Linked DNA regions of Oryctolagus cuniculus. The protein of the gene in region 1 interacts with the protein of each later gene in a biochemical or structural test. Links are inferred from orthologs where the notes say so. Each region holds a gene or a part of one and is shown in the gene's direction. Other genes may lie near its edges. The genes, in order: GTF2I, HDAC3, USF1 and BTK.

What was found.
Region 2: the proteins of GTF2I (region 1) and HDAC3 form a complex in vitro, tested with the Homo sapiens proteins (2 studies listed by BioGRID). The link is inferred for Oryctolagus cuniculus from reciprocal best matches to the Homo sapiens genes GTF2I and HDAC3.
Region 3: the proteins of GTF2I (region 1) and USF1 form a complex in vitro, tested with the Homo sapiens proteins (2 studies listed by BioGRID). The link is inferred for Oryctolagus cuniculus from reciprocal best matches to the Homo sapiens genes GTF2I and USF1.
Region 4: the proteins of GTF2I (region 1) and BTK form a complex in vitro, tested with the Homo sapiens proteins (4 studies listed by BioGRID and IntAct, with this or other methods). The link is inferred for Oryctolagus cuniculus from reciprocal best matches to the Homo sapiens genes GTF2I and BTK.

What each region holds. Positions count from the first base shown.
Region 1 is NC_091450.1:49,717,876-49,725,336, reverse strand, and holds part of GTF2I (general transcription factor II-I), read left to right. Parts: intron 1-4,107; coding exon 4,108-4,179; intron 4,180-5,008; coding exon 5,009-5,192; intron 5,193-5,661; coding exon 5,662-5,720; intron 5,721-6,719; coding exon 6,720-6,794; intron 6,795-7,461. UniProt on the Homo sapiens protein: Interacts with the basal transcription machinery by coordinating the formation of a multiprotein complex at the C-FOS promoter, and linking specific signal responsive activator complexes.
Region 2 is NC_091437.1:29,197,046-29,204,506, reverse strand, and holds part of HDAC3 (histone deacetylase 3), read left to right. Parts: intron 1-2,515; coding exon 2,516-2,597; intron 2,598-2,726; coding exon 2,727-2,783; intron 2,784-2,900; coding exon 2,901-2,956; intron 2,957-3,266; coding exon 3,267-3,400; intron 3,401-3,818; coding exon 3,819-3,899; intron 3,900-4,257; coding exon 4,258-4,331; intron 4,332-4,490; coding exon 4,491-4,555; intron 4,556-6,307; coding exon 6,308-6,397; intron 6,398-6,501; coding exon 6,502-6,560; intron 6,561-6,800; coding exon 6,801-6,880; intron 6,881-7,111; coding exon 7,112-7,269; intron 7,270-7,461. UniProt on the Homo sapiens protein: Histone deacetylase that catalyzes the deacetylation of lysine residues on the N-terminal part of the core histones (H2A, H2B, H3 and H4), and some other non-histone substrates.
Region 3 is NC_091438.1:37,750,111-37,758,218, forward strand, and holds the start of USF1 (upstream stimulatory factor 1), read left to right. Parts: upstream 1-2,813; 5' UTR 2,814-2,959; intron 2,960-3,283; exon of another isoform or gene 3,284-3,308; intron 3,309-3,501; exon of another isoform or gene 3,502-3,694; intron 3,695-4,806; 5' UTR 4,807-4,891; coding exon 4,892-4,899; intron 4,900-5,278; coding exon 5,279-5,328; intron 5,329-5,483; coding exon 5,484-5,599; intron 5,600-5,922; coding exon 5,923-6,024; intron 6,025-6,115; coding exon 6,116-6,311; intron 6,312-6,555; coding exon 6,556-6,643; intron 6,644-7,455; coding exon 7,456-7,514; intron 7,515-7,662; coding exon 7,663-7,757; intron 7,758-8,005; coding exon 8,006-8,108. Other genes in the region: ARHGAP30 (rho GTPase-activating protein 30), read left to right, coding at 1-1,141.
Region 4 is NC_091453.1:91,375,853-91,383,313, forward strand, and holds part of BTK (tyrosine-protein kinase BTK), read left to right. Parts: intron 1-2,246; coding exon 2,247-2,375; intron 2,376-2,698; coding exon 2,699-2,766; intron 2,767-3,542; coding exon 3,543-3,730; intron 3,731-4,137; coding exon 4,138-4,200; intron 4,201-4,725; coding exon 4,726-4,780; intron 4,781-5,066; coding exon 5,067-5,146; intron 5,147-5,311; coding exon 5,312-5,439; intron 5,440-6,140; coding exon 6,141-6,215; intron 6,216-6,763; coding exon 6,764-6,935; intron 6,936-7,434; coding exon 7,435-7,461. UniProt on the Homo sapiens protein: Non-receptor tyrosine kinase indispensable for B lymphocyte development, differentiation and signaling. Binding of antigen to the B-cell antigen receptor (BCR) triggers signaling that ultimately leads to B-cell activation.

The sequences.
Region 1 (7,461 bases):
TAAAGCCATGAAGCCATGCCACCCTGTCGTTTGTGGAAGCTGGCTACAGGCATTCCTTGGTTTATCAAGATGAACACACCCAGGCTGGTAGCCGGACTTGCATTTCATTCTATAACAATGAGTCATTCTACGTTATTTCACTAGTTGATTTAAGCAGCCTGGTGTGTATTTGATACTTGGAGCTCATCCTAACTCCAGTTAGCCACCGGAGGCTACTAGCTGCCGCATCAGGCCACAAACAAGGGGCAAGGGGCTTGTCAGCTCTCCTCACGTGGGCCCTGTTCTCAAAGCAACAGATTGTGTGATGACTCCAGCCTGTCCGCTAATATCGCAGCCCAAGTTGTGGGTGAATGATTTCACTTCTTTATTTGAGCTCTGATGAGCCCTTCTTTCTTTCCTCTCTCTCTCTTTCTCTCTCTTTTTTTTTTAACCTGCCATCTGCTGGTTCACTCTCCAGATGCCCTCAGTAGCCAGGAGAGGACGTGGTGGACCAGGAACCAGCGACTCACTCTAGGTCTCCCTCCGGCTTGGCAGGGACCTAAACACTTGAGCTGTCGCCTGCTGGTGACATGGAGCTGGAACTGAGAGGGGGCCAGGGTTGAACTGGGCACTCTGTGCAGGACACAGGTGCCCCGGCCATGCCTGCCCTTCTCTGCCTTTGTGTAGTGTCAGAAAGAGCGAGTACATCTGCAGGTCTCTGCTGCCAGGGCCTGGACAGCCGTAGCTGTAGTCTGTGTTGCAGACCTCTGTTTTAACTTCTTCTTCAAGGTTTGTGTGTTTGTTTGAAAGGCTGGGTGACAAGGAGGGAAGGGGACACCAGGCGATTGGCCTTCTCTCTATTGCTCACTCCCCAGATGTGCACAGCAGCCAGGGCTGGGCCAGGCTGTAGCTGTGATTAGGAGTTCCATCCTGGTCTTCCAGATGGGTGCAGGGGCCCAAGCACTTGGGCCATCTTCCACCGCCCGCTGAGCTGGATCAGAGGTGGAAGTGCTGCAGCCCAGCGTACCCCACTGCTCCATGGGGCCAGGCCCAGCAGTGGGGAGTTTGAAGTTTTCAGGAAATGAGTGTTTGAAAAGGTGAGGCCGGCGCTGCGGCTCACTAGGCTAATCCTCCGCCTGCGGCGCCGGCACACCGGGTTCTAGTCCCAGTCAGGGCGCCGGATTCTGTTCCGGTTGCCCCTCTTCCAGGCCAGCTCTCTGCTGTGGCCCGGGAGTGCAGTGGAGGATGGCCCAGGTCCTTGGGCCCTGCACCCGCATGGGAGACCAGGAGAAGCACCTGGCTCCTGCCATCGGATCAGTGCGGTACGCCGGCCACAGTGGCCATTGGAGGGTGAACCCCCTCACTGTCCACTCTGCCTGTCAAAAAAAAAAAAAAGAAAGAAAGAAAGAGTGAATCCTGAGTGTCTGTTAGTGTCTTAAATGTGTGCGGTCACTCTCGTGAGCACTGAGGGGCCGTGTGCGGTCAGGGTTGTGTGTCCTGAAACAGGAGTGCTGGATCAGCTTTCAGGACGCCTGGGGCAGCTAGTGAGGGTCCGGGCAGCGTGCCGAGGAGTTTCTTTGTGTGTGATGACGTGAAGGGCCATCTTTGCGTAGGGCGGCATGGGAAATACTAAATACTGTGCCGGGGAAGCCCGCAGTGGAGAAGGTCATAGCCCTGTCTAACTGACCCAGAGCTTCGCCCCCAGCGTGCCTTTGCTTTAGGCAAAACAAGGGTGTTGGTGATGAAGATTGGAAGGGACACGTCCTGTGCTAAGGGGACCGTGTGGAGAAGGCGGGTATTCCCAGGGCCTTGCCGTGCCCTGTCTGGACGTGGCGATTGCCCAGAGCCGCCTCCCCCTCCTTGGGGGAGACTTCACGTTCAGGCTCGCGACAAATGCGAGTGCCTGCAGACACTGAGCACAGTCATTGCGTCATTGAAAGAGCGTGCAGGCCTCGGCGGTATTCCAGCTGCCGTGTCGTGCCGTTCTCAGCAGTACTCGATCTGCTGTCTTCAAGCATAGGTCAAAGGCTTGTAACACAAGGAGAATCTTCAAGTTCCCAGTCTTGTGAACAGAGCTTGAGTGTCTGCCATTCTTAGCAGACCTTGGGAAGGAATGGGAGGTGGCTCTTGTTCTGACACAGTGGTGCAATGGCCTGCCAGTGGCCAGCTCGTCACCGATTCCATGACACGCAAAATGTGTTTGTCACTGCCGTCAGAGAAGTCTCCTTAAACATGCTGGGTGCAGGTTGGTGAAAGATGGGTGGCATGGGGCCAGTCTTGCAGCATAGCCGCTAAAGCTGCTGGCTGCAACTCCAGCATTCCATATGGGCACCGGCTGTAGTCCCGGCTGCTCCACTTCCAATCCAGCTCCCTGCTAATGTGCTTGGGAAAGCAGCAGAAGATGGCCCAAGTACCTGGCCCCTGCACCCACTTGGGAGACTCGGAAGTAGCTCCTGGCTCCTGGCTTTAGACTGAACTCATTATGGCCATTTGGGGAGCAAACCAATGGATGGAAGATCTCTCTTTCTCTCCATACCTCTGCCTTTGAAATAAATACATCTGTTTAAAAAAAAAAAAAAAAAGGATGGGGCTGGCACTGTGGCGCAGTAGGTTAATCCTCCACCTGCAGTGCTGGCATCCCATATGGTCTCACACGCGGGTGCAGGGACCCAAAGACTTGGGCCATCTTCCACTGCTTTCCCAGGCCATAGCAGAGAGCTGGATTGGAAGTGGAGCAGCCAGGACTACAACCGGCACCCATATGGGATGCTGGCGCTTCAGGCCAGGGCGTTATCCCGCTGCGCCACAGCGCCAGCCCCTCAAATAAATAAAATCCTTAAAAGAAAGAAAAAGAAAAGGAAAAAGAGGAAGGGAAAGAAGGATGGATGGATGTCACATGTGAAAAAGGTGTGGTTAGCCCAGTGACAGAGTTTGAAGGGGGGAGACGGGGGAGGGTCCCCGGCTCCTGTCTTCCCACACTGAAGGAGCAAATGCGGCGGAGGGCGCTGCAGGGCAGGAGACCGCACTGCAAGGTGGCAGAGCCCGTGGCCCTGGAGTGGGGGTGTCTGGGTGTCTCTGTGAGAAGTCACTGAGATTGGGTTCACACTGGAGGGAGCCTTTGGGCTGCTTTGCAATCCAGAGGGTGCTCTGGCCTTGTGCACCGTGGGTTAAGCTGCCGCTCGGGACCCCGGCGTCCCACACTGGAGAGCTCTTCAAGGCCCGTCTTCCTGCTGCGCGCCTGGGGAAGCAGCGCAAGACGGCCCCAGTGCTCGTGCCCCTGCCACTCGAGCGGGAGGCTGGGTGGAGCTCCCTGGCTGCTGGGGCCGCGAGGGGAGTGAGGCAGTGCTTGGAGGCTCTCTGTGTCTCCCTTTCTGTCACTAAGTCTTTTTAAAAAAGAAAAGAAATCCAGAGGAACTTGACAGCTCGGGCCCGGCTGCAGGGGAGCCAGGCTTCCTTTCCAAGCACAGGCCATGTCAGGAGGGGATTCCCGAGGTGGCCCGCCTTCAGCGGGGGTCTCAGAATTTCCCGAACATTCCCCACCGCCCTTGCCAGCGACCCCAGGACGTGCACTCTGCTCCTCCTCGGCACCCGCAGCTCCGCCCGCCGACAAGCCGCCCGTGCCTGTGTCTCCTGATGGCCTTTTCAGTCCGTTCTAAAGGCCACATGGAAAGGTCGTGGTTGCCTTGCACGGAATGGGCTGGAAAACCGAGCAGCGGGTGGGTGGGGGTGCGCTCAGCTCCCTGGTGCCTGCCGCGTGTTTCCTGAGAGATGCGCTCGTGCGGTTTCGCATCACAGGACACAAGGGCTGGCTGTGTAGCGAGCAAATCCGAGTGCAGGGTCTCGCCGAGCCCGCGTGGGAGCCTGACAGGCCTCCCAAGAGGGGCGTGTGAAAACCGGTGCTTCAGTGCCGCTGCTTTGGTTACACCGCGAGGGAGGCGTGCATTCATCTCCATGCCTGTCTTCTGGTAGAGGGCGAGTTCAGGAAGTCATGTTCACACGCACAAGCTTCTGATTGCAGGGTTCGGCTGAAGGAGGGTGCGCGTCCCGACCTCCGGTCGCGGTCGCGGTCGCACGCGCGCGCGCATGCGCACAGCAGCCGTGCTCACGGGCGTTGTCTTTGCTTTGCAGTCAAGGAGGACTGGAACGTCAGAATCACCAAGCTGCGCAAGCAAGTGGAAGAGATCTTTAACTTGAAGTTTGGTAAGACGTAGTGCTCGTGTCTACTGCCACACGTAAATAAAGGCCGCGTCCACGAGGAGTCTCTTGGGTCAGGACCTGCGTGGGTTCTGGCCTGGTTCTGCCCAACTCACTGCTCACACGAAGCACGCCACCGTGCTCCTCTCGGATTCTGATTGTCTGGTCGGTATGGGGGAGGGGAGGAGGCCATGGGGTGAGTTCCCCTCCTGTGGTCTGCACGTCTGCTATGGCCGACGCTGGCCTGGCACGCGTGTGTCGCCACTGGTTTCGACCTGGATCTGGGGCAGCGGTTCCGGGAGCGCTGTCCGGAGTGGGATCCAGGTGGGATGTATCTGTCATGGCAGAGGAAGGAAGCAGCAGGGCGTGACAGCAGGGTTTTGGGCGTTGCCATCCGATTATTTAACTCCTGGAATTGACATTTTGTGTTTCCATCAGGAGCCTTGAAGACTCTGCCTCTGGTCACTAACGCCCATGCACCCCACACAGCTCCTGTGTTGACATAGCAAACTTGGCGTCCAGATGGCAGCACAGGACGGCCGGGGCCACTGCTGTGTGGGATGGCCTTACTGCATTCTGCCCCGTGTTCCGAGAGCGCTTTGATAACGCAGCCCTACCTTTGATTTAAAGTGCTAAAGTGTCCTCTTAACGAATGCTTGCCTTTTAGGCTTGTTCTTCTTCTGATTTGCACATTGTACTAAGCAAAAGTGTCTTTAGTGTTGAGTGGATATTGCTAGGTTGCAGGGAGCGTGCACAAAACTTACTTGCGAATGCGAGCACAGATGGAGAGAATGTGGGTACAGCTTTATCTTCCATAAGTGGTGTTGTCTTTCAGCTCAAGCTCTTGGACTCACAGAGGCGGTGAAAGTCCCGTATCCTGTGTTCGAATCCAACCCTGAGTTCCTGTATGTAGAAGGCTTGCCGGAAGGAATTCCCTTTCGAAGCCCTACCTGGTTTGGAATTCCGCGACTTGAAAGGATTGTCCGTGGGAGTAATAAAATCAAGTTTGTTGTGAAAAAGTGAGTGGGACTTGCCCTGGAAGTGGCATGATCGGATTGCCTGCCTGTGTGAGTGCTTTTCCAGCGGGAAGGAGAGGCCGGGCTCTGAGCTGCACCCTGGCGAGTCCCCGCCTGTGCTTGCCTTGTGCGTCAGCTGCCGTTCTGCGGCGCTTGCGTGGCCTCTGGGATGGGACGTCTCCGAGGAGTCCCAGACACTTGGGTGGCTGTTGCAGATGCTGTTCTTTCTCTGCTCTCACTCCTGGCCATGGTTGGCAGTGACTGGCTGTCAGTGGCTGCATGGTTGGAGAAACTGAACTGGTGTGAATTTCCTGTCTCATGAACGGAGTCACTTACTGTTCATAAAATCCCTCATCAGATTGTTGAGGGGAGGGGAGGTGGGTTTCCTGCCCACAAAAATGGAAGTCCCTGGGGCTGGGGCGCCTGCGTGAGGCCTGCGCCGCACTGACCGCTGGCCATGTTTTCCTTGCAGGCCTGAACTGGTGGTTTCCTACCTGCCTCCCGGGATGGCGAGTAAGATCAACACTAAAGGTAAGAGGCGCATCTGCTGCTCCCTGTGCCCCACGCATGGCCGCATTCTGCACCCGCGGGCCTCAGATAGTGTTGCCCAACACCTTCATGAGGCCTTGGCTTCATTTTTGTTTTTTCTTTTTAAAGATATATTTTTATTTATGTATTTGAAAGACAGAGTTACAGAGAGGCAGAGGCAGAGAGAGAGAGCCTTCATCCACTGCTTCACTCCCCAGATGGCTACAATGGCCAGAGCTGGGCCGATCCGAAGCCAGGAGCCAGGTCCTCTGGGTCTTTGACGTAGGGGCAGGGGCCCAAGCACTTGTGCATCATTGCTGCTTTCCCAGGCATATTAGCAGGGAGCTGGATTGGAAGTGGAGCAGTCGGGTCTCAAACCAGCGCCCATATGGGATGCCGGCACCACAGGCAGCAGCTTTTACCTGCTATGCCACAGCGCCATCCCCATTTCTTTGTTTTTTTTTTTTTGGTTGGGTTTTTGTTTGTGTTTTTAAGATGGATTTTGGGGGGGGGGGGCGGGGGATTGATTGATTTGTTTGGAAGGCAGAGTGACAGGGAGCTTCCATCTGCGGGTTCACTCCCTAATTGGCCGCAGTGGTCAGGAGCCTGGAGCTCCATCTGGGTCTCCCACCTGGGTGGCAGGGGCCCAAGCACCTGGGCTTTCCCCCACTACCTTCCCGGGGTGCTGGTAGGGAGCTGGATCGGCAGTGGAGTGGCGGGACTCACGCCCACACCCCAGCGCGGGAGGCGGCGTCTCAAGTGACGCGTTAACCCGCCGCGCTGCTCTGTGCCTTTTATGGTGTTTACGTAGTGGCTGCGTTCTCTTGTCCACCATGACGTGTCCGCGGCCTCCCGTGCTGCCGTCTGCAGCTTTGCCAGGGCTCGCGCAGGATCACGTGCTGAGCTTGCTCTGAGGGCCTGGCCGAGGGCCGCGGGTGGTGGCGGCGCCCTCTCCCGCTGTGGCCTGGCAGTGTGCGAAGCTACCGTGTGCTTGTCTTCCAGCTTTGCAGTCTCCGAAAAGACCACGGAGCCCCGGAAGCAACTCGAAGGTCCCTGAAATTGAGGTCACCGTGGAAGGTGAGGCCGCCATCTCTGCCCAGTCTCGGTGTTTGTAGCTAAAAGTTGAGGAGCCCTTGAGCGTGCTGTCCGCAGTCGGCTGTGTGCTGCTCTGAGGAGAATCCCCAAGTGCTTCTTCCTCTAGGACAGTCAGGTGCAGAGAGCAAGGCGCAGTACTGCTCTCTTCTCCTCTGGCTCTCTCTCCTTTACAGGGACCACCGTTTAGAGATGATTTGCATGGCGGTGGTTAGGGCTGGTTTAGTTGGTGCTGGTCAGGGGTGGTGTAGCCGGCAGTGCCTCGGGGCCGGTGTTGCCGGGGGTGGGGGTGGGGGGCGAGTTAAGCTCCTGCTGATGTTCCTGGGGCAGCAGATGGGGGCTCAAGCACTTCAGCCCCTGCTCCCCAGTGGAAAACGCGGGTGCAGTTCTTGGTTCCTGGCTGTGGCCTAGCCCAGCCTGGGCTGCTTTCTGCTTTTGAAATAAAATAAATAACCTTTAAAAAGAAGTGGGTAAGTAGCAGCGCCACCCCGCCGTCTCCTTCCTCCTCCCCCCTCCCGCTGACCCGTGGGGTCCCGTGCCCAGGTTTAGTGCTGAGGTACTTGATGCAGAACCACCCGCTCTCGGCCAGCCGTGGGGTCGGTGTTTCCTCCCGTCTCCGTCAGCATGGCACGCTGCACCCTCCATTTCCCGT
Region 2 (7,461 bases), on another chromosome or scaffold:
TGACCCAAGTGTTTGGGCCCTGCACCTGCATGGGAGACCAGGAGGAAGCACCTGGCTCCTGGCTTCGGATTGGCGTAGCTCTGGCTGTTTTGGCCATTTGGGGAATGAACCAACACAAGGAAGACCTTTCTCTCTGTCTCTTTTTCTCTCACTGTCTATAACTCTACCTGTCAAATAAATAAGTAAAAAAAAAAAAAAAAAAAAAAAAATGGGGGCTGGATCAGGCCAAAGCCAGGAGCCTGGAACTGTGTCTAGGTCTCCCTCATGGATGCAGGGGCCAAAGCACCTGGGCCATCTTCCACTGCTTTCCAAGGCACATTAGCAGAGAGCTGGATAAGAAGTGGGACAGCTGAAACTTGAACTGGCACCCATATAGGATGCTGGTGCTACAGACAGTGGCTTAACACAATGCACCACAGCACCAGCCCTCAAAAAGTTTTTGAACCAAAATAAACTTACCTTCTACGACTTTAAAAAATTTTAATTTTAAACAGAATCCCTTTTATGTGAAGGGCAGAGAAAAAGCCCTTATCTGCTGGTTCACTTCCCAAATATTCTCAGCACCCAGGGCTGGGCGGGGCTGAAGCCAGGAGCCCAGAACTCTGTCAGGCTTCCCTCATGGGTGGCAAGGCCCCAGGTACTTGAGCTGTCACCTGTTGTTTCTCAGGTGTACATTAGCAGGAAGGTAGAATTGGGGGCGGAGCTGGGACTCATGCACAGGCAGGCTGATAAGGGATGAGGGTATCCCAAGTGGTTTCTTAATGGCTGTCTCACATGCCTGCCCCCATTTCCCATGAGTTTTTACAGTACCCTTTCAAAGTGCGATTTAATCTGTTTTCTTGAATGACTTTTGTTTTTCCTGGAGCTACTAATTGCATTTTTCCCCATGTGCTTTGTTTTCTAGGTACAAATCACTAATTCTTCCAAACCCTTTGAGAAACTATAAAATTCACTATATTTCCATTTTTCGCACTAGGAACTTTCGAACTAGGGACTTTTTAATCTCTTCCTTTTATTTAAATATGTGTGTGTATATATATATATATATTATTTATTTGAAGGGGGAGGGGAGAAAGAGAGAGAGAGAGAGAGGAAGAAAGAGATCTTCCATCTGCTGGCTTACTCCCTAAATGGCTTGGGCTGGGCCAGTCTGAAGCCAGGAGCCTACAACTCCATCCAGGTCTCCCACGCGGGTGGCAGAGGCCCAGGTACTAGGGCCATCTGCTGCTGCTTTCCCAGGCACATCAGCAGGGAGCTGGATTAGAAGCAGAGCAGCCAGGACTCAAACTGGCATTCTGATGTGGGATGCTGGTGTCACAGGTGGTGGCTCAGCTTGCTGTGCCACATCAGCCTCATGCTTTTCCTTTTTATTAAAAGTCAGGTTTAGAGGGCTGGCAATGTGGCATAGCAGGTTAAGTCCCTGTCTGTGATACCGGTGTTGGCATCCTGTGTGGATGTGAGTTCGAGCCCTGGCTGCTCCTCTTCTGATCCAGCTGCCTGTTAATGCACCTGGAAAAGCAGCAGCAGATGTCCCATGTCCATGGGCACCTGTACCCATGTGAGAGACCCATATGAAGTTCCCGGCTCCTGCCTTTGGCCTGACCCAGCCCTGGCTGTTGTGGCCATTTGTGGGGTGAACCAGTGGATGAAAGATCTGTCTCTGTAAATCTCTCAGGACTAGGCCAAACCAAAGCCAGGAGCCAGGAGCTTCTTCTGGGTTCCCATATGGGTGCAGGGGCCCAAGCACCTGGGCCTTCTTCCACTGCTCTCCCAGGTGCATTAGCAGAGAGCTGGATTGGAAGTGAAACAGTCAGGACTCAAACCGTTGCCCACATGGGATGCTGGCATCGCAGGTGGCAGCTTTACCCACTATGCCACAATGCTGGCCCCTGGATCTGATGTTTTGTTCTTATGTTTTGCCTTTTGCAGAATGCTATATATAAATCAAGTCATACAGTATGTAGCCTTTTGTGTCTGGCTTTAAGCCTCTCCTTTTTATAAAGAATGAAGATGACAGTACTTATGGCAAGCATTTATTACAGGCTTACCAGGTGCCGCACACTGAGCTGACGGCTCTCTGTGGGTTGTCTCATTATTCCTAGTCCTTGCATATAAGAATACATATCACTTTTTGTAATGTGTGACTGCAAAGGATACTATTAAACGTTATGTTAAAGGGTGATACCCATGGAAGATTCTTTTAAGGAAAGCAGACCTCACGTGCTCTCAGTGTGTTTCTTTTTTCCTGTATACTCAAGAACCTCGAAGCTGTTTGCTTCTGTCCCCAGCTGGGGTGCCAACTTCCTGACAGAGTTAATTGCTCCTTTACCTACCATTCAGTGCGTTGCACAGGGCTTGGTCCACATTTTGATGCACAGTATTTACTGAATGAATTTGCAGCTATCCCAGTTGGCATTGCTGACAAATGGGGACTGGGGGCGTGTGGGTGAGGAGGGTGGAGAAGAGGGGTCCTGCACAGAGGCAAAGGCGTTCCAGCAGCTTCTCTTGCCCACAGCCCTGTGTTCCCCGGGCTCTTTGAGTTCTGCTCCCGCTACACTGGTGCGTCTCTGCAAGGAGCAACTCAGCTGAACAACAAGGTGACGTGGCCCCCAAGTCCTCTCCCACTTTCCTGTGGGGCTCTGACTCAGGGCCATCAGCCTGATCCTGTGCTCCCAGCTTTGGGCAGAGGGAGGAGGAGGGCTGTGAGTTGCATGGTTGTCTTTCAGATCTGTGATATTGCCATTAACTGGGCTGGTGGTCTGCACCATGCCAAGAAGTTTGAGGTAAGGGAGGCGGTGAGGGGGAGGCGGTAGCCCCCTGGGATAGGTGGTTGGGATGGCAGTGGGAGGCAGCTGGGTGGGAGAGTCGCCCATCTCCCTAAGACCAGTGTCTTGCCATAGGCCTCTGGCTTCTGCTACGTTAATGACATTGTAATTGGCATCTTGGAGCTGCTCAAGTAAGTAGCCGGGGGAGACTCTTGGCAAGGGAGGTCCCTCACACTCCACCCTGGCCCTGACTTCCTCCTGCCCAGCTCACTTCTCCCAAGTTCAAGCTGCCTGTTACCTTGCTCTGCTGCAGACTCACTGCTGCCTGCTCGCGTTTGAGCCATCTCTGCACATCTGTTTCCTGTCCCTGCCTCCTGGTGGGATTGGGCTTCAGGGGGCTTGGGCAGAAGTAGAGTCTTCAAAATTCCCTGTCCCGTGTTTAGGTGGAGTGGGTTTGGGGATTCGCCCCTACCCCAGAGCCTGGCTTTGCCCTCACCCCAGGTACCACCCCCGGGTGCTCTACATTGACATTGACATCCACCACGGTGACGGCGTGCAGGAGGCCTTCTACCTCACCGACCGGGTCATGACGGTGTCCTTCCACAAATATGGAAACTACTTCTTTCCTGGCACAGGTATGGGAACAGGGCCGCTGCTGTCACTGCCTGCTTGGCCTTCCTGTGCCAGCTCAGATGTCCCGGCGTCACAGAGATCACCTCCTGCTCCCCTCTCTGTCACCGTACCCCGTTTCTTTCCCAGAGCACTCACTGCTGCTTGTAATTACCGTGGTGTTTCGTGTCGTTTCCTTTACTGTCTCCTCCTCCTCATGCGGCCCCTCCCCCGAGGGTAAATACGAGCTTGGCAGGTGTTAATGTCATTAGTGTAGTTCACTGCTAGGTCTTCTATCTCCAGTGCCTGCTACACAGCTTGGCTCATGGTAGGCCCTCAGCAGAATATTTGTTGAATGGGTGCAGGCTGGTGGAGGGAGATGTAGGTGGTGCCGCTGACTGTGGGTGCTTTGTGGGCACGGCTACCCCTGGCACTTCCCTATAGGTGACATGTATGAAGTGGGAGCAGAGAGTGGCCGCTACTACTGTCTGAACGTGCCCCTGCGGGATGGCATTGACGATCAGAGTAAGTGTCGGCGTCTTCTCCCTGCTGGTTCTGCCCTTCTTCTCTCCTTAAGTGACGGCTTTTGCCTGGTATTCGCTACTGTTGGGCCAGGTGGGTGAATGGCCTTCAGGAGGGCTGTGAACCCCTAGAGACTATGCGGCATACTGTGTGTATGTGCATTTTTCTGGGAAGAGGGTCACCAGCTTTTATCAGCCACTCATCGCGGTCTGGGACCCCCTTCGGGGGTGTGGATCCAGTGGTCTGAGACTTTGGGTTGCCCCTTTCCCGGGCTACATGCTCTCTCAATCCCCTTTTCCTTTTGTTCCCTGTCTCCCCATCCCCTTGGGGTGCCAGGTGCCCATCTTTGGCCCTCTCCCAGGTTACAAGCACCTTTTCCAGCCAGTTATCAACCAGGTGGTGGACTTCTACCAGCCCACGTGCATTGTGCTGCAGGTAATGCTGCCAGGCCTCCTCAGGAGGGCTCTCCTGGGCTTGAGGAAAGAGAGCGGGGAAGAGGCGTGTCCCCCGGTGGGTGGCGGGAGGGGAGTGCAGGACACCGTGATGCTCTGGCCGGTGATCCGACGGCAGCTACCCGGGGTTTTGGTTTTGCAGTGTGGAGCTGACTCCCTGGGCTGTGATCGACTGGGCTGCTTCAACCTGAGCATCCGAGGACATGGGTGAGACTTGCCCTCCTTCCCCCTCCCAGGTTTTCAAGTGGCTTTGGGGCCACATGGAGTGGAAGTGGTTGGGAATAAGCCTCACCACTTCTTGGGAATGAAAAATAGCTACTTTTAAACTAGAAATATCACACTAAACAGGGTTCCTTTGATGGTCATTCATTCACAAGAGGTTTTCATTAAGCACCTGTTACGTTCCAGGCATTGTACCAGTGATGGGAATGGAATGAGGAAACGCCCGTGGAGTCTATAGAATAGCATAGGAAACACACACAAAAAAGAAACACAAATATAATTACTAGATTATTATAAATCCCATGAAGGATGGGTTTACCATGTGACGTAGGGTGACAATGGGAAACCTATGACTTCAGATAGCAATGATTTGGAAAGGGTTTTCTGAAGGGTTGAAATTTGAGCTGATACCTGGAGGCCAAGAAAGCCCAAGTTAAAAAGTTATCAGAGGCCGGCGCCGTGGCTCACTAGGCTAATCCTCCGCCTAGCGGCGCCGGCACACCAGGTTCTAGTCCTAGTCGGGGCGCTGGATTCTGTCCCGGTTGCTCCTCTTCCAGGCCAGCTCTCTGCTATGGCCCGGGAGTGCAGTGGAGGATGGCCCAAGTGTTTGGGCCCTGTACCCATGGGAGACCAGGATAAGTACCTGGCTCCTGCCGTTGGATCAGCACGCTGCGCTGGCTGCGGCGGCCATTGGAGGGTGAACCAGCGGCAAAGGAAGACCTTTCTCTCTGTCTCTCTCTCTCACTGTCCACTCTGCCTGTCCAAAAAAAAAAAAAAAAAGTTATCAGAGAAGCCTGTCCTGGCAGTAAGAGGGCCCACGGAAGGTTCTGAGGCAGGGAAGAGCTCGGGTAGTGGAGGAGAAGAAATAAAAGCAGTGAGGCCCAGGGAGTGGGCTGCGGTGACAGTGTGTGGTGCCTTTAGACCTTTGAAAGGAGTTTGAATTATACTCCAAAGATGATGGGATGAAGGATTTCATGCAGGGAAGTAATGTGACCTAACTTGTGTTTTCAAGTGACTGCTTAGTGGAGAAAGGTGTGGGGTGGGAGTGGGGACAGCAGTGGTGGTGGGAAGATCCCTTAGGAAGCCACTGGCATTGGCTAGGCAGGGTAAATGCTACCTGGACTAAGGTTGAGGAGGTGACTGTGAGAAGCAGCGACATGAGTTTCGTTTTAAAAGTTTGTTAGAGAGAGAAAGAGAGACACCTCCCATGTCTGGTTCACTCCCCAGATGCCCACAATGGTCAGGATGAGGCAGGCTGAAGCTGGAGCTGAGAACTCAATCCAAGTCTCCCATGTGTGTGTCAGGGGCCCAAGTACTTGAGTCATCACTTGCTGCCTTCCAGGCTCTGCCTTGGCAGGAAGCTGTAACCAGGAGCCGGAGCTAGAAACTGAATCCATGCATTCCAGTGTGGGATGCAGGCATCGTAACCACTGGGCCAAACACTTGCCCCTTGAGTTTTGTTGTGAACTTGCTGGTACACTGAGGAGACTAGTTGATTAACAGGTGGTTTGCCAGAGAGGGTGTTGAACAGGACAAAGGTGGAGGTCTACTTTATTTTCAAATTTTTATGTTAAAAAAAATTACAGATCTTGAGGATGTAACCTGGGGAGTTGCACTCCCCAGATCATGATATGGAACGTTGTACATACCTTGTGCCTCTTTGCGGACAGTACCTAGAGGAGTATGCCTTGGCTCTTGGTAACTTCCTCCACCCGTTTCTCTGGTTCCTTTTGACAGAGAATGTGTTGAATATGTCAAGAGCTTCAATATCCCTCTGCTGGTGCTGGGTGGTGGCGGCTATACTGTCCGAAACGTTGCCCGCTGCTGGTGAGTGCCCTTCCTGATTTCCTTCGTTCCCCGTAGTCCGTCGTAAGCTAGGAGGGCCCTTCAACCTACTGGTCAGTCTAGCCTGCTTTGCTGCTTGGTTTCAGGACGTATGAGACATCACTACTGGTTGAAGAGGCCATTAGTGAAGAGCTCCCCTACAGTGGTAAGGCCTACCCCTGGACACTTCCCCTGAAGGCCGTCCTCCCCAGACCCCAGGCCTAGTGTGAGGGCAAATGGGCAAGTTCCTATGCTCAGAGCTCTGAAGACTAAACCCCTGAGCTTAGAGGAGGGAAGGCACTGGGCAGCTGTTTTCTAAGGGGCCTGAGCGGGAAGACAAGCAATTGGGAAGGCTTGGGACCTGCCTGTTGGGTCCAAGCCCTACTTCTAATTCCTTCTCCCCAAGAATACTTCGAGTACTTTGCCCCGGACTTCACGCTGCATCCAGATGTCAGCACCCGCATCGAGAATCAGAACTCACGCCAGGTCAGCAGCTCCAAGAAGCTGAGCACAAGGGTGGGAGAGCCTGGCAGAGATGGGGCTGTGAGCTAGGAGCAGCCAAGCTACAGCCGAGGCAGTGAGGGTTTCAGGGAGGGCACTTACTGGCTGGGGGGCCTGAACTAGAAGAACCCTGGAGATTAAAAACCAGCTGGAAGGGTGAGTGTGTCCCGGGAATCACGGGGAGCTGCTCACCATCTGCTCCTGGCCTCCATCCAGTATCTGGACCAGATCCGCCAGACAATCTTTGAAAACCTGAAGATGCTGAACCACGCGCCCAGCGTGCAGATTCATGACGTGCCTGCAGACCTCCTGACCTACGACAGGACGGACGAGGCTGATGCGGAGGAGCGGGGTCCTGAGGAGAACTACAGCAGGTCTGGGGCGGCTAGGGGAGGCTTGAGTGGGCAGAAGTGAATGCAAGATGCTTGCCTGGCAGGGGAGATACCGGGATCACAAAAGTGTGTGCGAGGCTTTGGCTTCATTGTCCCTGGCTTGCTTCCTGCAGTCTGCTGCAGCTCCCCTACTCTTTCTTTCTCCTGTTTTTAATGACAAGATTATCACATATT
Region 3 (8,108 bases), on another chromosome or scaffold:
GGCTGAAAGCGTGGAGGAGACTAAGAGTACAGAGGAACCAGGAGAACAGGATATAGACAAGGAGCAGGACAAAGAGGTTGAGAGAGAAGAGGCTGAGGGAGGAGAGGCGGCTCAGGTAGACACTGGAAGGTATCCAGAGAACGGGGCCCAGGAACACCTGGCTGCTGAGGAGAACTGGGAAGTTGTACACAAACAAGAGGTCAATGGAGGCACAGAGGATGAGGTCAAAGGACAGAAGGGGAATGGAAACCATGAGACAAGAGAAGACCAAGGAGATGGCGAAGATGGCAGAAATTCAGCAACAGCAGCCAAAGGAGGAGAAAGGGAGCTTAGCAAGGAACGGGAGAGTGGGCGTGGAGTGGCTGAGGGAGCTCAGAGCGCGGGAGGGGACCGTGTAGAAGAGGGGGCCCTCTCTGGGGGGTCGGGCATGAAGTTCTTGCAGGCTGATGCTGCCAAAGAGGGCAATGCTCAGTCTTCTGATACGGAACAGGTAGCCCCCCAGCCACCCCAGCCAGAGGAGCTGGAGCCTGATGGTCAGCCCAGCTCTGAGGGTGATGCTCTGTGCGCCTGCTCCCTTGGTTCAGCAGGCGGTGTGGGCATGCGCCTGGCTTCCACCCTGCTTCAGGTCCAACAGGTCCACTCTGTGCCCGTGGTGCCCCCCAAGCCACAGTTTGCCAAGATGCCCAGTGCAATGTGCAGCAAGATCCATGTAGCCCCTGCAAACCCATGCCCAAGGCCTGGCCGCCTTGATGGGACTCCTGGGGAAAGGGCTTGGGGGTCCCGAGCGTCCCGATCCTCTTGGAGGAATGGGGGCAGTCTTTCCTTCGACGCTGCTGTGGCCATGGCCCGGGACCGCCAGAGGACTGAGGCTCAGGCAGTCCGGCGGACCCAGACATGTACTGGGGGTGGGGACTACAGCCTCATTCCCAGAACCTCCCTCTGTAGCACGATCCCTGCCCATCCTTCTCGGCCCCTTAGCTGCTTGGAACACCCACCTGAAGGCACAGAAGGGCCTGGATCCCGGAGTCGGCTTAGTCTGCCCCTCAAAGATCCCCAGCCCCCCGATCTCCTTATGTGCCCCCAGCGCCGGTCATATGCATTTGAAACACAGGCTAACCACGAGAAAGGTGAGAGACTGTGATTAGGACCAGAACATTGGGCCAAAGGGACCAGGAAATTGTCTGGAATCTTTGGGGTCCCTGGCTAGCTGTCTCTTCTGTAGCCTGAGCAGCTGTAGTGCCCCACTCTATGGAACTTTGGTCCTCCAGCTTCTGTTTCTGACTGTGGGAGGCACTTTCTCAGCTGGTATACCTGAGCTCGTCTCAGACTTAGAGCACTTACTTATCTCTCAGGAGATTTTCCAAAAAAGTCACCAAGATCCTGTTCCCAGGGAGTAGCGTCATTGGCCAAGGGGAACATAACGTTAGGCAGAAAATTTAAGAAGTTTCTCAAAGCGAAGAATGGAGGGGGAATTCCAGACAAGTTCCTGCTCTCCTCGGAGGCTTCTTTATAGAAGCCCAAGACAGAGGTGAGGACTGGGTCAGCTCAGAGCTTCTCCCTCCGCCCCCCCCTTTCTCACACACACACACACACACACACACACTAGTTGTCCATCCCTACATCCTTGGATACTTCCCGATCCTCTTAGCTCCATATTAGCAGTATGTCCAGGAAGTTCTTTGAAGTCCTCAGTGTTTGAAAGATGGCCTGGACCCCTCCCTTCCCCTCCATCTGCCTCTCCGTATATTACAGGGGAAAGGTCTTGTGCACATCTCTCTGGCCGTTCCTTTTTCCTTTGGAATAATGCCCTCCTGTTTCAGAAAATGGGGATGGCCTCACTCAGGTTCTTGGGACTGCTTCTCCAGACAGGTGGAGGGCACAGGTCTCACTCTAGAAGGGGTTGGTATTGCAGAATAAAAGTTGTATTTTTACACATAAACAGTGTGGAGTCTCATTATTCTGACTAAAACCTTGGGTGATAGGTATCACATTTTCATATATTTGGCCAAACTTTTTTTTCCCCTACTTTGTTCAGGGCTGTTTCTCAGTTGTCATGGAGACTAGGCTAAAAACTAGAGCTGGGGTCAGCGGTGGTCAGGAAATGGGGAAGAGAAACTTGTATTTACATAATGTTCATTATGTGCCAGGAACCGGGCTGGGTAGTCTTGTGTATTAATTCCACTTAGCAATTCTGTAAGGTAGGTACACATAGGTGGCTCCATCTTACGGATGAGGAAACTAAGGCTCAATTAAGTAAAAATGCTTGTAAGATCCCAGCGGTAATAAGTAGAAGAGATGGATTTGAGAACCAGGTTTAAATGGCCTGGTTTCTTAATTTTTCCCATTATACCATCCTACTCCAAACCTATTAGGAAGAATGGGAATCAATCCTCTCGCAAAATGTAAGCCTCGGGTGAGTGACTAGCGACGCTAACAGAAAGGAGGTATGCTCAGATCTATCTATTTATGCCCTGAGATGTCTCCATCTCCTGTAGGAAACCCTTAAAAAAATTGCCCTTATCCAAGATGGCCTCCCAAATAGCCCTTGTTAAAGATGGCGCCTCCGTCTGGCGGCCCTCCTTGATCCCCGCCTGCCGCCCCATTCCCTTTTCCCGGAATCAAAAAAGCTCTGCCAAGCACAGAGATGGCAGCACACGCTAGCCGCCCTTCTCCCGCTCCCGCCCTAAGTGGCCAGGCCTCGAGCGACATTCGCCAGCAGTACCCCTCCGAGCGTGTCCCCACGCTCCCATCCCTCCAGCCCTCAGCAAGATGGAGCGAGCGGAAGTGGAGCGGCTCAGGGGCTGTAAGTGGGCGGGGCGGGTCGAGAGAGACACTTCCGCCCCTCACCAACATGGCCCAGGGCCGGCAGTGCGCATGAGCAGCTGTCTATGGAGAGACTCGGGTCGGGAGAGGGAGAACACGGTCGGGGGGAAATCGGCGGCTGAGACGGCCTGGGCCGGTGAGTGCAGGGCCACACGGCAGTGTGGAGACTGGATGGGTCGGCAAGGCGGGGCCGCTTTGATTTAGTTTCCGTTTTTCAGGATGGGAAACTCTTGGGGGAGGAAGCCTTTGTTTTGGGGGAGGGGACCGTGCCTGGTTCTTTTATTTGCTATCCCGCTTTGTGGGCCAAACCCGCTCCCCGCCCTCCTGCGCTGTCCGGCCGCGGGGCTGCGGCTGCGGGCCCCCGAGCTCCCGGCGCCCCTTCCCTGCCTGCTCTGCGAAGCAGCCGCGGCGCGGGGCGAACGCGGCTGGGCTGGCCGGGTCACGGCGCGGGCTCCGGGGCGCGCGCCTGGCGGGCGCTCAGCTCGGTGAGCGCCTGCTGCTCGGTGGGCCTTCGGGGAGACGCCTTGTTCTCAGGCCTGGTTTCTTTCCAGGCTGCATCCCCCACCCCCACCCCGCTTTGTGTCCAGACTCGGCCAGGGGTCTCGCTGGGCCCTCGTTTGCCTGAGCGTGCACAGCGCAACATCCTATCCCGGTTCCCGTGTCTCCCATCTCCCGAAGGCTCAGGAAATGCTTCCGGATGTCCAGCGCGGGGTTGAAGAAGTAGCGCGACCCCGCTGCGGGGTGTCCTCGGAGACCGCCCTTGGCTGACAGCTGTGGGCGATAGAGGCGCCTCCTACTCCCTGCCTTCTCTTTCATTGCTTCCTCCTGCAGTCGGCGCGACGAGCCTCGGAGGGGCACTTTTCCCACTCAGGTTGGAGGATGGAGACCTGGGTGGTCCCAAAACACCAGGGCTACTTCTCCTGCGGGGCTGGGATCTCCTTGCAACATTACTTCCTTCGGACAGTTTCGCTTTCAGTTCCTTTTTGTTGTTGTTGTTGTTGCCATTTTCCTTGGCCACGGGCTCTCCAGGGCTTCTCCGCTGAGGATATTTCCTGGGATAGAAAAGGCCAGGAGAAACTCACGGATGCAGAATTTACAGAAATCTTGCCCCTTTCGTGTTGGGATTATTTTACTGCTTTGTACCGGCTGTTTCTTTTCGGCATCTGCCCGCTTAGCCCTTTGTTTTTTTCTGTCGTCTGGCTGCATGTCAGGGTCCTAAGGCAGGCACCTCCTAGATGGGTTCCTCCTCCATTGTCTCTTCTTCGGAAGCCTAAGCCTGGGCTTTTTTTTTTTTTTTTCTTTCCCTCCTTAGTGAGGCTCAGTTGATTTGGAGTTGTCATGGCAACGTTTTAGCAACTGTGTTGTTCTACAGGAAGGCTTAATGAATAATAATAAAGAAGGCTTGAAGCTAGTGCACTTGGATGTTAGGTTCTCTAAGGGATGATACCAATCTGGGCACCCCCTGCGCCCAGATAAGAGCCCTTTCAGTAGAGTGGAGCCCAAGGGCCAGGTCTTTGTGGTTAGCATCCGTTTTCCAGTGGTGGTGGGTTCCTGTGTCCCCTCCCTGGATTGAGGCAGCTGGAAGCTGAGAACCTGGAAGAAGCATGACTGTCCATGGCCTTGTGTTTTGGTAATGCTGGTCTCAACATGGCCCTCCCTAATTTCCTTGAAGCTGCTGTTGTGGGAGATCATGATAGCTTTAATAATAATCCTTTGAGAAATGTGTTGTTTCTCAGCCTTCCGGTATAATGACCCCTTCTCCACCAAGAGTCAGGGTGATAATGAAGGGGTGAGGAGCTCGATTTGTAGGGTTGCGTTTTCCAACAGACCGGCCCTCAGCATTGGAATGGGGGAAGCTGGTTGTCCTTTGCAGGTGCAGGTGACTGGGTTCTTTTCCTGGCTGTGTGTTCACGGAGCCTTGATCCCAAGTCTAGGGAGGCTGTTCAGTCCAACACTCACTGCAAACTCCGTGATTTCTACCAGGACTTAGTATTCAGGCCTGTGAATCAGGAGATACGAAGACTCCAAAAAAAGGACCAGTTCCTCGGATGTGCCCCCTCACAGAGAGATGAAGGGGTGAGTAAAGCAGAGGTAGGGTCTGGGGTGAGAGATGGTTGGCCTGGGAGAGCGTCAGACGCTGAGAGCACTGGCTGTGCGGGCAGACAGACCTGGAGTCAGGTCCAGTTCCGTCCCCTACCAGCTGTGTGATCTGGTTTCCCATTTGTAGAATGGAGGTAGTGCCACCTGCCTTATAGTGCTGTTAGTGTTCACTAAGACAGGACATGTTAAATGCTTAGCTTGAAGCCTACATGCATAGTAAGTACTAGTTGTTATTCTCACGTAACCCAGCATCTGTTATGGATGCCAGTGGATTTGGGAGTTCTTTGCCACTGGGCCAGTAGCTTCTCACTCCCTTCTTCCCTTATTCTTTCTTTTGCTCTTTCACCACAAACAGGCAGCAGAAAACAGCTGAAACGGAAGAGGGGACAGTGCAGATTCAGGAAGGTGAGTGTTAAAAATGGAACTGAGAGCCATGATGGCACCTGTCCCTCCACTGGGCCACCTCCCGAGCGCCCTTCCTCCTTCCACGTGTCGTGCAAGTGGAACAGAAGGAGAAAGGCAGTTAACTCAGGGACCTTTCCTTTGCTCTCCTACTTCAGGTGCAGTAGCTACTGGGGAGGACCCAACCAGTGTGGCTATCGCCAGCATCCAGTCAGCTGCCACCTTCCCTGACCCCAACGTCAAGTACGTCTTCCGAACTGAGAATGGGGGCCAGGTAAGGGGAGGAGCCAGGTGGCTGCAGGTGTTACTTGGGATTGGGGTTGAGGGAGGTTTGGAACATGTGTTGGGAAGATGTGGCTTGGAGGATGAGGGGGAAATACGGACTCTTATGGTGGGAGGGCTGATATGAGAGTTGGGGTAGAGCCTGGTGTGAGCCAGGGGTATGCTAAAGCCCTGGGACAGGGAGGGAAGGGAGAGCGGCTGACTGTGTCGAGGGTGTTATTTTGGGGCCTTCCCCATGGAGAAGTTTGCGAAGTGCCCTGGGAGTCCCAGCATTTACTCCTCTCTCTTCTCCCGCCCTCTTCCTCTCGCTTTTAGGTGATGTACAGGGTGATCCAGGTGTCTGAAGGGCAACTGGACGGCCAGACTGAGGGTACCGGCGCCATCAGTGGCTACCCTGCCACTCAGTCCATGACCCAGGTACTGCAGTCTGGGCTGGGCTGGTGACCAGATCTCCGGGCAGTGAGAGGAAGAAGGGAACTGGACTCTGTCCTCTTGCTCTCCTCTCCAGGCCGTGATCCAGGGTGCTTTCACCAGTGATGATACGGTTGACACAGAGGGGACAGCTGCTGAGACGCACTATACTTACTTCCCCAGCACTGCAGTGGGAGATGGGGCAGGAGGTACCACATCGGGGAGTACAGCTGCTGTTGTTACTACCCAGGGCTCAGAGGCACTACTGGGGCAGGCAACCCCTCCTGGCACTGGTGAGATATCGCGTGAGGATGCTGGCTGGAGGGGCTAGGAGAGGCCATGGGACATGGCTGGTGGGCAGTGGGCCTTCACTCTTGACCCTTCCTGATTCCTTAGCCCCGGGCAAGGCAGTGAGTTGGCCCCCCTCCTAGCAGGAGGAAGCCTGTTCTTTTCAGAGGAGGATCCCAGGGTCGTGGCCTCAGGGCATGGTCATGTGGCCAGGTTTGTCCGGACACAGTTTATCCTGCGTCTTCACAGGTCAGTTCTTTGTGATGATGTCACCACAGGAAGTGTTGCAGGGGGGAAGCCAGCGCTCCATCGCCCCTAGGACCCACCCGTATTCCCCGTGAGTGATCCCATTTCTTCTCAATCACCAGGAGTGGTGGTTTTTTTTTTTTTTTTGGAAAGATTTATTTATGTATTGAAAGGAAGAGTGAGAGGGAGCAGAGTGACACAGAGAGGGAGAGAGAGAGATCAACTTTCCATCACTCCCCAAATTCCTGCATCAGCCAGGGCTGAGCCAGGCCAAAGCCAGGAGCCTGGAACTCCATCTGGGTCTTCACCCAAGTACTTGGGTCATGATTTGTTGCCTTCTGATGCCAGGTGCATTAGCAGGACGCTGGATCAGAAGCAGAGTAGCTGGGACTTGAACCTGTACCCTGACAAGGGATGTGAGTGTCCCAAGAGGCAGCTTAACCTGCTGTACCACAACACCCTCCCCATAAGCCATCTTGACACTTGCTGAATCTTGTTTAATGCCTTACCCCAAACTCTAATCTTAGTTTTATTTAAAAAAATTTTTTTAAGATTCACTTATTTATTTGAAAGGCAGAGCGAGAGAGGGAGAGAAAGAATAGATATCTTCCATTTTCTGGTTTATTCCCCAAATAGCCACAATAGCCAGGTCTGGGTCAGACAGGAGCCAGGAACTCCATCTTGGTCTCCCATATGGGTGGTAGTGGCCCACAACATCTTGGGGTGTTTGCCCAAGCACATTAGCATGAAGCTGGATTGGAAGCCAGAGTAGCCTGGCATCAAACCAGCACTCTGATAAGATATGCCAAAGTTGCCAGCGGCAGCTTCACCCGCTGCACCACAGTGCCAGCCCCTCATCTTAGTCCTCGTCCTTACTCCGGCCACCCTGGGTTCTGTTGTCAGGAAGTCAGAGGCCCCCCGGACGACTCGGGATGAGAAACGCAGGGCTCAGCACAACGAAGGTGAGCTGGATCTGAGTGTGAAGCAGGGAGCGGTTGTGTGGGAGTGGGGGCAGCAGGGACATCTGGCGGGCGGGGCTGGGGGAGGGGAGGTTAGGTAGTTTTCACCCTAGGCTGTGGTGAGTTTTCACGGAGTCACTTTGCCCCGCAGTGGAGCGCCGCCGCCGAGACAAGATCAACAATTGGATTGTGCAGCTGTCTAAGATCATCCCAGACTGCTCCATGGAGAGCACCAAGTCTGGCCAGGTCATGGCAAGGCCCTGGTGGTGGGCAGGCCGCCTGAATTCTGTCTCCTGGTATCGTTTCCAGAAATGGTGGAGAGAGGGACACAGCGTGGCAGTGGTCTTCCCTTCCCTCTCTCCGAGGGTCCTGTGCCTCTGGGAGGTGTCACGGTGCCATCCTTAGGGGACAGTGAGGTCCGAAGCGTGAGCATGCTTTTGGACAGGCCAGATGTCTTCAAGGCTAGACCTCATTTGGTCGGCTTTGTCTTGCAGAGTAAAGGTGGAATCCTGTCCAAAGCTTGTGATTACATCCAGGAGCTTCGGCAGAGTAACCACCGGTTGTCTGAGGAGCTGCAGGGGCTCGACCAGCTGCAGC
Region 4 (7,461 bases), on another chromosome or scaffold:
CTTTGCAATAACTGCTGACATGCAAATGTACGCAAATGTGCCTGTTCTTGCCCTGGTGCCCACTACAGTCAGTCGTTTCCATCGTCTTTGCTTCTCCCAGTATCTTTTTAAGATTGTAAAATTTATTTTGAAATCCAGTGTTACTGAAAGAGACACACACACACACAGAGAGAGAGAGAGAGAGAGAGAGGAATCTTCTATCCACTGGTTCACTCCCCAGATGGCCACAATGACTGGGGCTGGGCCAGGCAGAAGCCAGGAGCCAGGAGCTTCATCAAAGTCTCCCACGTGGGTGTACGGGCCCAAGCACTTGGGCCATCTTCTGCTGCTTTCCCAGGCACATTAGCAGGGAGCTGGATCAGAAGTAGCCAGAACTCGAACTTCTGCCCATTTGGGATGCTGGTGTCACAGGCAGTAGCATTACCCGCTATGCCACAATGCTGGCCCCTTCTCCTAGTATCTGACACCATGAGCTCTGGATGACTTTTCTCATTCACTTCCTGATAAGATTCTCAAGATGCCACAGTATTTTTTTTAATATTTTACTTATTTTCTTGAGAGATAGAGTTACAGAGAGAGGGAGACACAGAGAGAAAAGTCTTCCATCCACTGGTTCACTCCCCAAATGGCCGCAACAGCCAGAGCTTCCAAAGCCAGGAGCCAGGAGATTCTTCCAGGTCTTCCACACAGGTTCAGGGACCCATACACTTGGGCCATCTTCCACTGCTTTCCCAGGCTACAAGCAGAGAGATGGATCAGAAGAGGAGCAACCAGGACTTGAACCGGTGCCCGTATGGGATGCCAGCACCAAGGCAGGGCCCAAGTGCCACAGTGCCAGCCCCAAGATGCCATAGTATTAGTAACAGTGGTACTAATTCATCCTAGCTGCAATCTACTCTTTGCAAAATACTTTGGCTTCTGGGAGCTCTTTTGAGCCTCATGGCTCTGTGAGGGAAATGGAGCTGCTGCCTTTATCTTTGGCAATGGGCTCAGCCCAGCTCAGGAATCCTAGAAAGACTGGACAGAATCATTTTCATTTCTCCCCCTGGGCTCAGCTCTATTGACTGTTCTATGAATATAGACAGCCCAATACAGAAGTTCTCACTAAGGCAAATGTTCCTAAAAGATCACTCAGGGAACTGGGAAATTGCTATGTTAAAAGTAGGGGGTAGGAGCAGGCATAGTGGTGCATCAAGTTAAGCTGCCACTTGGAGCACCTGCATCACATATTGGAAGCCCCGTTTGTGTTCTGGCTACTCTGTGCTTTTCTGGTCCAGCTTCCAGCTAATGCATTCTGGGAGGCAGAATAGGATGGTCCCGAGTTCTTGGGCCCCTGCCATCCACATAGGAGACTCAGATGAAGTTTTGGGCTTCTGGCATTGGCCTGGCCTGGCCCTGGCTGTTTGCAGGCATTCGGGAAGTGAACCAATGGATGTAAGATATCTCCCTTCTCTCTGTCTCTGTGTGTATCTGCCTTTCAAGTAGATGAAAATAAATAAATTTTTTTTAAAGCTGGAGTAAGGGGCAGGCGTTCAGAACACTGGTTAAGTCTCAGCTTAGAACACAGCATCCCGTAACGAAGTGCCCAAGTTTGGGTTCCGTTTCCACTTTCCATTTAGGCTTTCTGCTTATGTGCACTCGGAGAGGCAGCAACTGATGATTCAAGTAGCTGATCTTTGCCACTCATGTGGACACCTAGATCACATAGGTTGAGTTCCAGGCTCCTGGCTTCAACTTGGCCCAGCCACAGCTGATGCAAGCATTTGGGGAGTGAACCAGCAGATAGGAGGTCTCTCTGTGTGTCTCTGGTTATGTTTGTTTCTCTGCCTTGCAAATAAAATAAATAAAGTAAAATAAAAAAAATACAAGTTGGAGTGAGAGTTTGTCTTGGGCATACTGTTTCCCTTATCTGGAAAATGAGCACCATCATCAACACCTGCCTTACAGAAAAAAAGATAATGGCTACTGGGAAAATATAGATAATATTTCTGTTGGGCCCTGGAGCCATCAGATAGTCTTATCATGTTGGTCAGAGATGACAGACCGCTAGCAAGAACCAGACAGGAAGTGTCCAGTGCCAGGGCACAGGCTCTCATCATGTGAGCCAACTGGCCCTGTGGTCTGCTTTTCTTCAGGGTGGCTGGGGAGGGGCAGTTGTTTGGAGCTCAGCACATCAGAGAGGAAAACATGCAAACGGTGGATTCCCTGTGTCAGTTATGATGTCTCTGTCTTCTCTTCTGCTACAGTAATCCGGTACAACAGTGATCTGGTTCAGAAATACCACCCTTGCTTCTGGATCGATGGGCAGTATCTCTGCTGCTCTCAGACAGCCAAAAATGCTATGGGCTGCCAAATTTTGGAGAACAGGAATGGAAGTAAGAGATCTGATCAATACAACTTCTTCCTCCTTTGACTCACTCTCAATAAGGGGCTGTACCAAACCCAGGGACAAAGCATAAGATAGTACATTTTGGCCACTGCACAAATAGACCTGGCAGAGGCGGTTACTGGGAATGGAAATCTTAGATGGTGATCTGTTCTCTAAGCCATGTGACCTGGGGGACTCTATCTATTTGGACCTTTTTTTTTCTATCTTGCCTAAAGGCACTGTGCACTCCAGCACAGTCCTTGAGCAAGTCTATCCCTGGGCCCTTTCCTAAAATGCATTCCTTGTCATCACTGGCTTCTTGTTTTGCAGGCTTAAAACCAGGGAGTTCTCACAGAAAGACAAAAAAGCCTCTTCCTCCAACTCCTGAGGAGGACCAGGTATGCCGGGATATAGGGTGCTGCTAGTATTTAAATGGAAACTTACAAACAAACCATGAAAACGAAACACTCCAGAGTCCCAGAATTCCACTGCAACTAGGCAGTGTTCATCAGTATTCTTGCCAAGACAGATTTCTCCTTCTAATTAGAACTTTCTCTTCAACGGAAAGATAGAGGGCTATTAGATAGTTTCTGGCGACCATTTAATTCAACCACCTGTTTCAAACAAAGCCTACTTTTTAAGTGAAAAGTATTTTCAAACATAAAGTTGAAAGAATTTAACCCTGAACACTCATATACCCAAAACTTAGATTCTACCGCTAACATTTTACTTTCACACTTGAGTTTTGGGTTTTTTTTTTTCCTTGACCTTTCTCATATATCATAAGGAGGTAGGGCAGGTATTATTAAGTCAGTTATTAGTTCCACCTACCAGTTGAGAGCTAAGCAGATTTCCTGAGTATGGCTGTATGTGGGTTTTGCCCAGAGAGCTTTGAACACTGATGCCTGGTCCCACTCCCAGGGATTTTGACACAACTGGCATGTGGGGAATTGCCTGAGCTTCGGGAGTGTTAAACTCTCTCCAGGTGATCTTCATGTGAATCCCAGGTTGAGAACACCTGCTTTAGTGCCCAAAGATGGTGTTAAAGGAATGTAGAATAAATCTTGTGTTACGTTTGATTTGGGTTAGAATGGCATCACTAGTAAGCGGAAGAGTTAGGAGAGTGCTTACCATGTAGCCACCTCCCTTACGTTTTCTCCTAACTACTGCACAGATCTTGAAAAAGCCACTGCCCCCTGAGCCAACAGCAGCACCAGTCAGCACAAGTGAGCTGAAAAAGGTGGTAGCCCTTTATGATTACATGCCGATGAATGCCAATGACCTACAACTGCGCAAGGGTGATGAGTATTTTATCTTGGAGGAGAGCAACTTACCATGGTGGCGAGCACGGGATAAAAACGGGTGAGTTCATGCCAGCCCTTCCTGAGCCTTGTACCTGCCCACTCCACACACATGCCAAATGCTGCAGCATAATTGTCCTGCTCACTCTCCTGATCAGAGAGGATTTTTCTGACACCAAAGAGAATATGCTCTCCTTCCAAGCACTTCCCAGCATGCAGTTCTACACATGGCCTCTGCCCCTTTTCTGAGCCTCTGTTGTAGTGCACAGATAACCAACACCACATGTGCAGAAGCTGCACCCTTCACTGGCCTAACCATGCATGGTAAAAAGGGTCCTCTTCGAGAGAGAAGAGTGACTTACAGGCTTCTGTTTGGAACTGGTTCTGAGCTCAGAAGTATGGGCATATGAATTGTTTTCTCCAGGATGGGAAAGTGTTGGACGATCTGCTACGTTGTCTCCTTTACAGGCAGGAAGGCTACATTCCTAGTAACTATGTCACCGAAGCAGAAGACTCCATAGAAATGTATGAGTGAGTATGCTTGTGCTCCCAGCACACAATCTTCCAGGAGGAACAAAGTATATACTTTTCTACCCATTTGACAAAATTGTTTTCATTTCAAGATACATGTTCAAATTAGTGCCGACTGCTCCAATGATGCCACCACCCCAAGTTAGTGCCTATGTCTTGCCTTCACCCTGAACATCCTCTGCTTATGAGAGCTGGGAGGGCACCATGCCCTCAAACCCAGAAGAATAACACTCAAAGAAAAGGGTTGACAGCCTGATGACACTCACTTTGAGTGCCCCAGTCCCTGAACTCTCCCCTGAAACCCCTGCTATCTACCTTTGCCCTCTGTGCACCATTCCCATGAGTCTGCAGTGCCAACCTGGGTTTGGGAAAGGGACAACATGTGATGTGCATTTGTCAGGCACTCAAGAAAGAGTTTGAGTGCAATGATTGAACCCCTGGCAGGGACCAACCCTGGAGAGCACTCGGACCTCTGAGCTGCCTTCAGTGGGGCCCCAGAGCCGCTCAAGAACTCTCCTCCCACAGGTGGTATTCCAAACACATGACTCGGAGTCAAGCTGAGCAACTGCTCAAGCAAGAGGTGAGTGCATGACCATGAGCAAACGGCATTCCCTTTGTTCAGTGAGTGAGGATCCTGGATGGAGGGCTTGCTCTGTACTCCATCTTCAGACAAGGCGGCGTCAAGGGCGCCATCATCTGTGGTACCAATTCGCTTTGCGGTATCCCAATCAGTGCAGCTACAGCTCAAGCGTGGAACTTGGCAGTAAAATCATGAATCGTTTCTATTCTGCCTCAGGATCGGGCAAGTGGGATGCCGGTGTGGATGCTACTTCCTCCTTTGTTCAGCTTCTTTTTTGTTGTTTCAGGGGAAAGAAGGAGGTTTTATTGTCAGAGACTCCAGCAAAGCTGGAAAATACACCGTGTCTGTGTTTGCTAAATCTACAGGGTGAGTGCTACTACTGTTCATGGACAGGGTGCTCTCCCAACAGCTCCTTAATGGTGTGCCCCTCCTACTTCCTCTAGCTCCTGAACTCAAAACTCACCTCCCTTCACCTCTTGGGTCCTGCTGCCCCTTGTTCCCAAGGCACTGACTAAGCAGCCATTTCTTTAGGGACCCGCAAGGAGTGATACGCCATTATGTTGTGTGCTCCACGCCTCAGAGCCAGTATTACCTGGCTGAGAAGCACCTTTTCAGCACCATCCCCGAGCTCATTAACTATCATCAGCATAACTCTGCAGGTGAGTACCGGGGCAGCCAAGAAGAAGGATGTGACAACGCCAGGAGAAGCAATTCTGGACAAGATGGCCAGGGGGAGAGTATACCTCACAGGGCAGTTGAATGAGCTGTGAACGTAAATCCTTGGATAGTCAGGTAGGGGTCCTGTCAAGAGGTGGTCAAAGGCCAACCTTACACCCAAATTGGTGCTGACTTCTTACTGAAACTCAGTGCCAAGGAAAGACACAGAGGAGACTGGTGATGAACCAGTCAGCTATATTTTTTTGAGTTCCTGCTATGTACTCAGCAATTCCCTCTGTTCTAAAGGAGATTGCAGGGAAAGTCTGAGTCAAGATCCTTGTCCACAAAGAACATACATGTTAGACAACATCATTTCTGAGTAGTGCAGAAATAATAAAACCTGGCATGCATATATGGGATAGGCTTCATTGAGAAGACAGGATGTGAGTTAAGCCTGGGCTGGGAGGTATGAATATATTCAGTTGGGATGGGGTGTATTTCAATAGCATTTTCTTATCTTCTCTCTGAAAGCTCTTTTGTGAGAGAAGAAACTTTCAGAAAAATGTGGGTTTGTAAAGATCTCCTGGGATTTTAAAATATGCTAGAGAGATGCATACTGAAAGTGAGAGGCTTTAAGTGAGTATGTGGGAAGCAGCCCATCCTCTATGCTGCACCAACAGCATGATCTCTCTGTATGTTACAGGACTCATATCCAGGCTCAAATATCCAGTGTCTCAACAAAACAAGAACGCACCTTCCACTGCAGGCCTGGGCTACGGTAACCGCTTATTTCTCTGCAGTAGAGTAAACTGGCCAGTTGCAAGGCCTACCTTTACAGACCTTGCCTTAGCAAGTGACCTTGAGGTGCACTGTCCTACCTCAGCTGCTTCAAGGAAGGTTAAGGACAGAACCAAGCAAGAGTTATTTAATGATTTTCTCCCTCTAGTGGCTCCTACTGGCACTGCAAAAATGTAGCTTCATAAAGGGGTTTGTTGATGGTGAGGGTCTTTTTCTCTTTTATTTTTAATCCTAGTAGAAAGTTTCAAGACCATTCCTGAGTTTATTAACTAGCAGCATTAAAATAATCATAAATGGATTTGTGGAAGTTGTCTATTTTCTTACTTTCTGGCCAACTTGTACCTAAAATTTCTAGATTCCTCCAACCAGTAACCCTGTCCAAGATTTACTTCAGCAAAAATAAATTAATATTCCTGAGAATTTCCTTTTTACTACTTTTCCTATTTCTACTTCAGTAAGGATTCTTATATATGATAAGAACTGCATATATATGAACCCCAAGGACTCACACTATGACTTTGTTGTTAGGATCTTGGGAAATCGATCCAAAGGACCTGACCTTCTTGAAGGAGCTGGGGACTGGACAATTTGGGGTAGTGAAGTATGGAAAGTGGAGAGGCCGATATGACGTGGCCATCAAGATGATCAGAGAAGGCTCTATGTCTGAGGATGAGTTCATTGAAGAAGCCAAAGTTATGATGTGAGTTACAGCCAAATTCAACTCTCAATCTAAAAATTCCCAGGGCAAGCCAGGGTGGTTTATGGTGACTTACAGTGAGATTTGGGACCAAGGACTGGGGTCAACTTCTGATTGGTGGGTGTCCTAACTGCTGAAATAATCATTTATTTGTCCTAGATATTGGTTGAGAATAGTGTTGGTCATGGTAATGTACAATCGCAATAGCATTTGGGGGCAAATGTAGCCAATGAGACTTTCAAAAGAAAGACTGATTCTAATTTAGCATTGGTGTTCTTTCACCCCCCAGACTTGTTTCCTGTTTCATTGATGGGCTCCAAATCCCAGATCACCCCACATCTTAGGCAATTTTGGGGCTTGGGGTGGGAAGGAGGAAAGTAAACTCACTGTTACAGTCCCTTATCTGGTGCTCTCGGCCAAGGCCAACCCCTTTCCTCCCCCACCCCTTTATGGCTACTGTTCAGAACTGAAAGGGAGGACTCGTTCCTTGCCTCTCCTGTAGGAACCTTTCCCATGAGAAGCTGGTGCA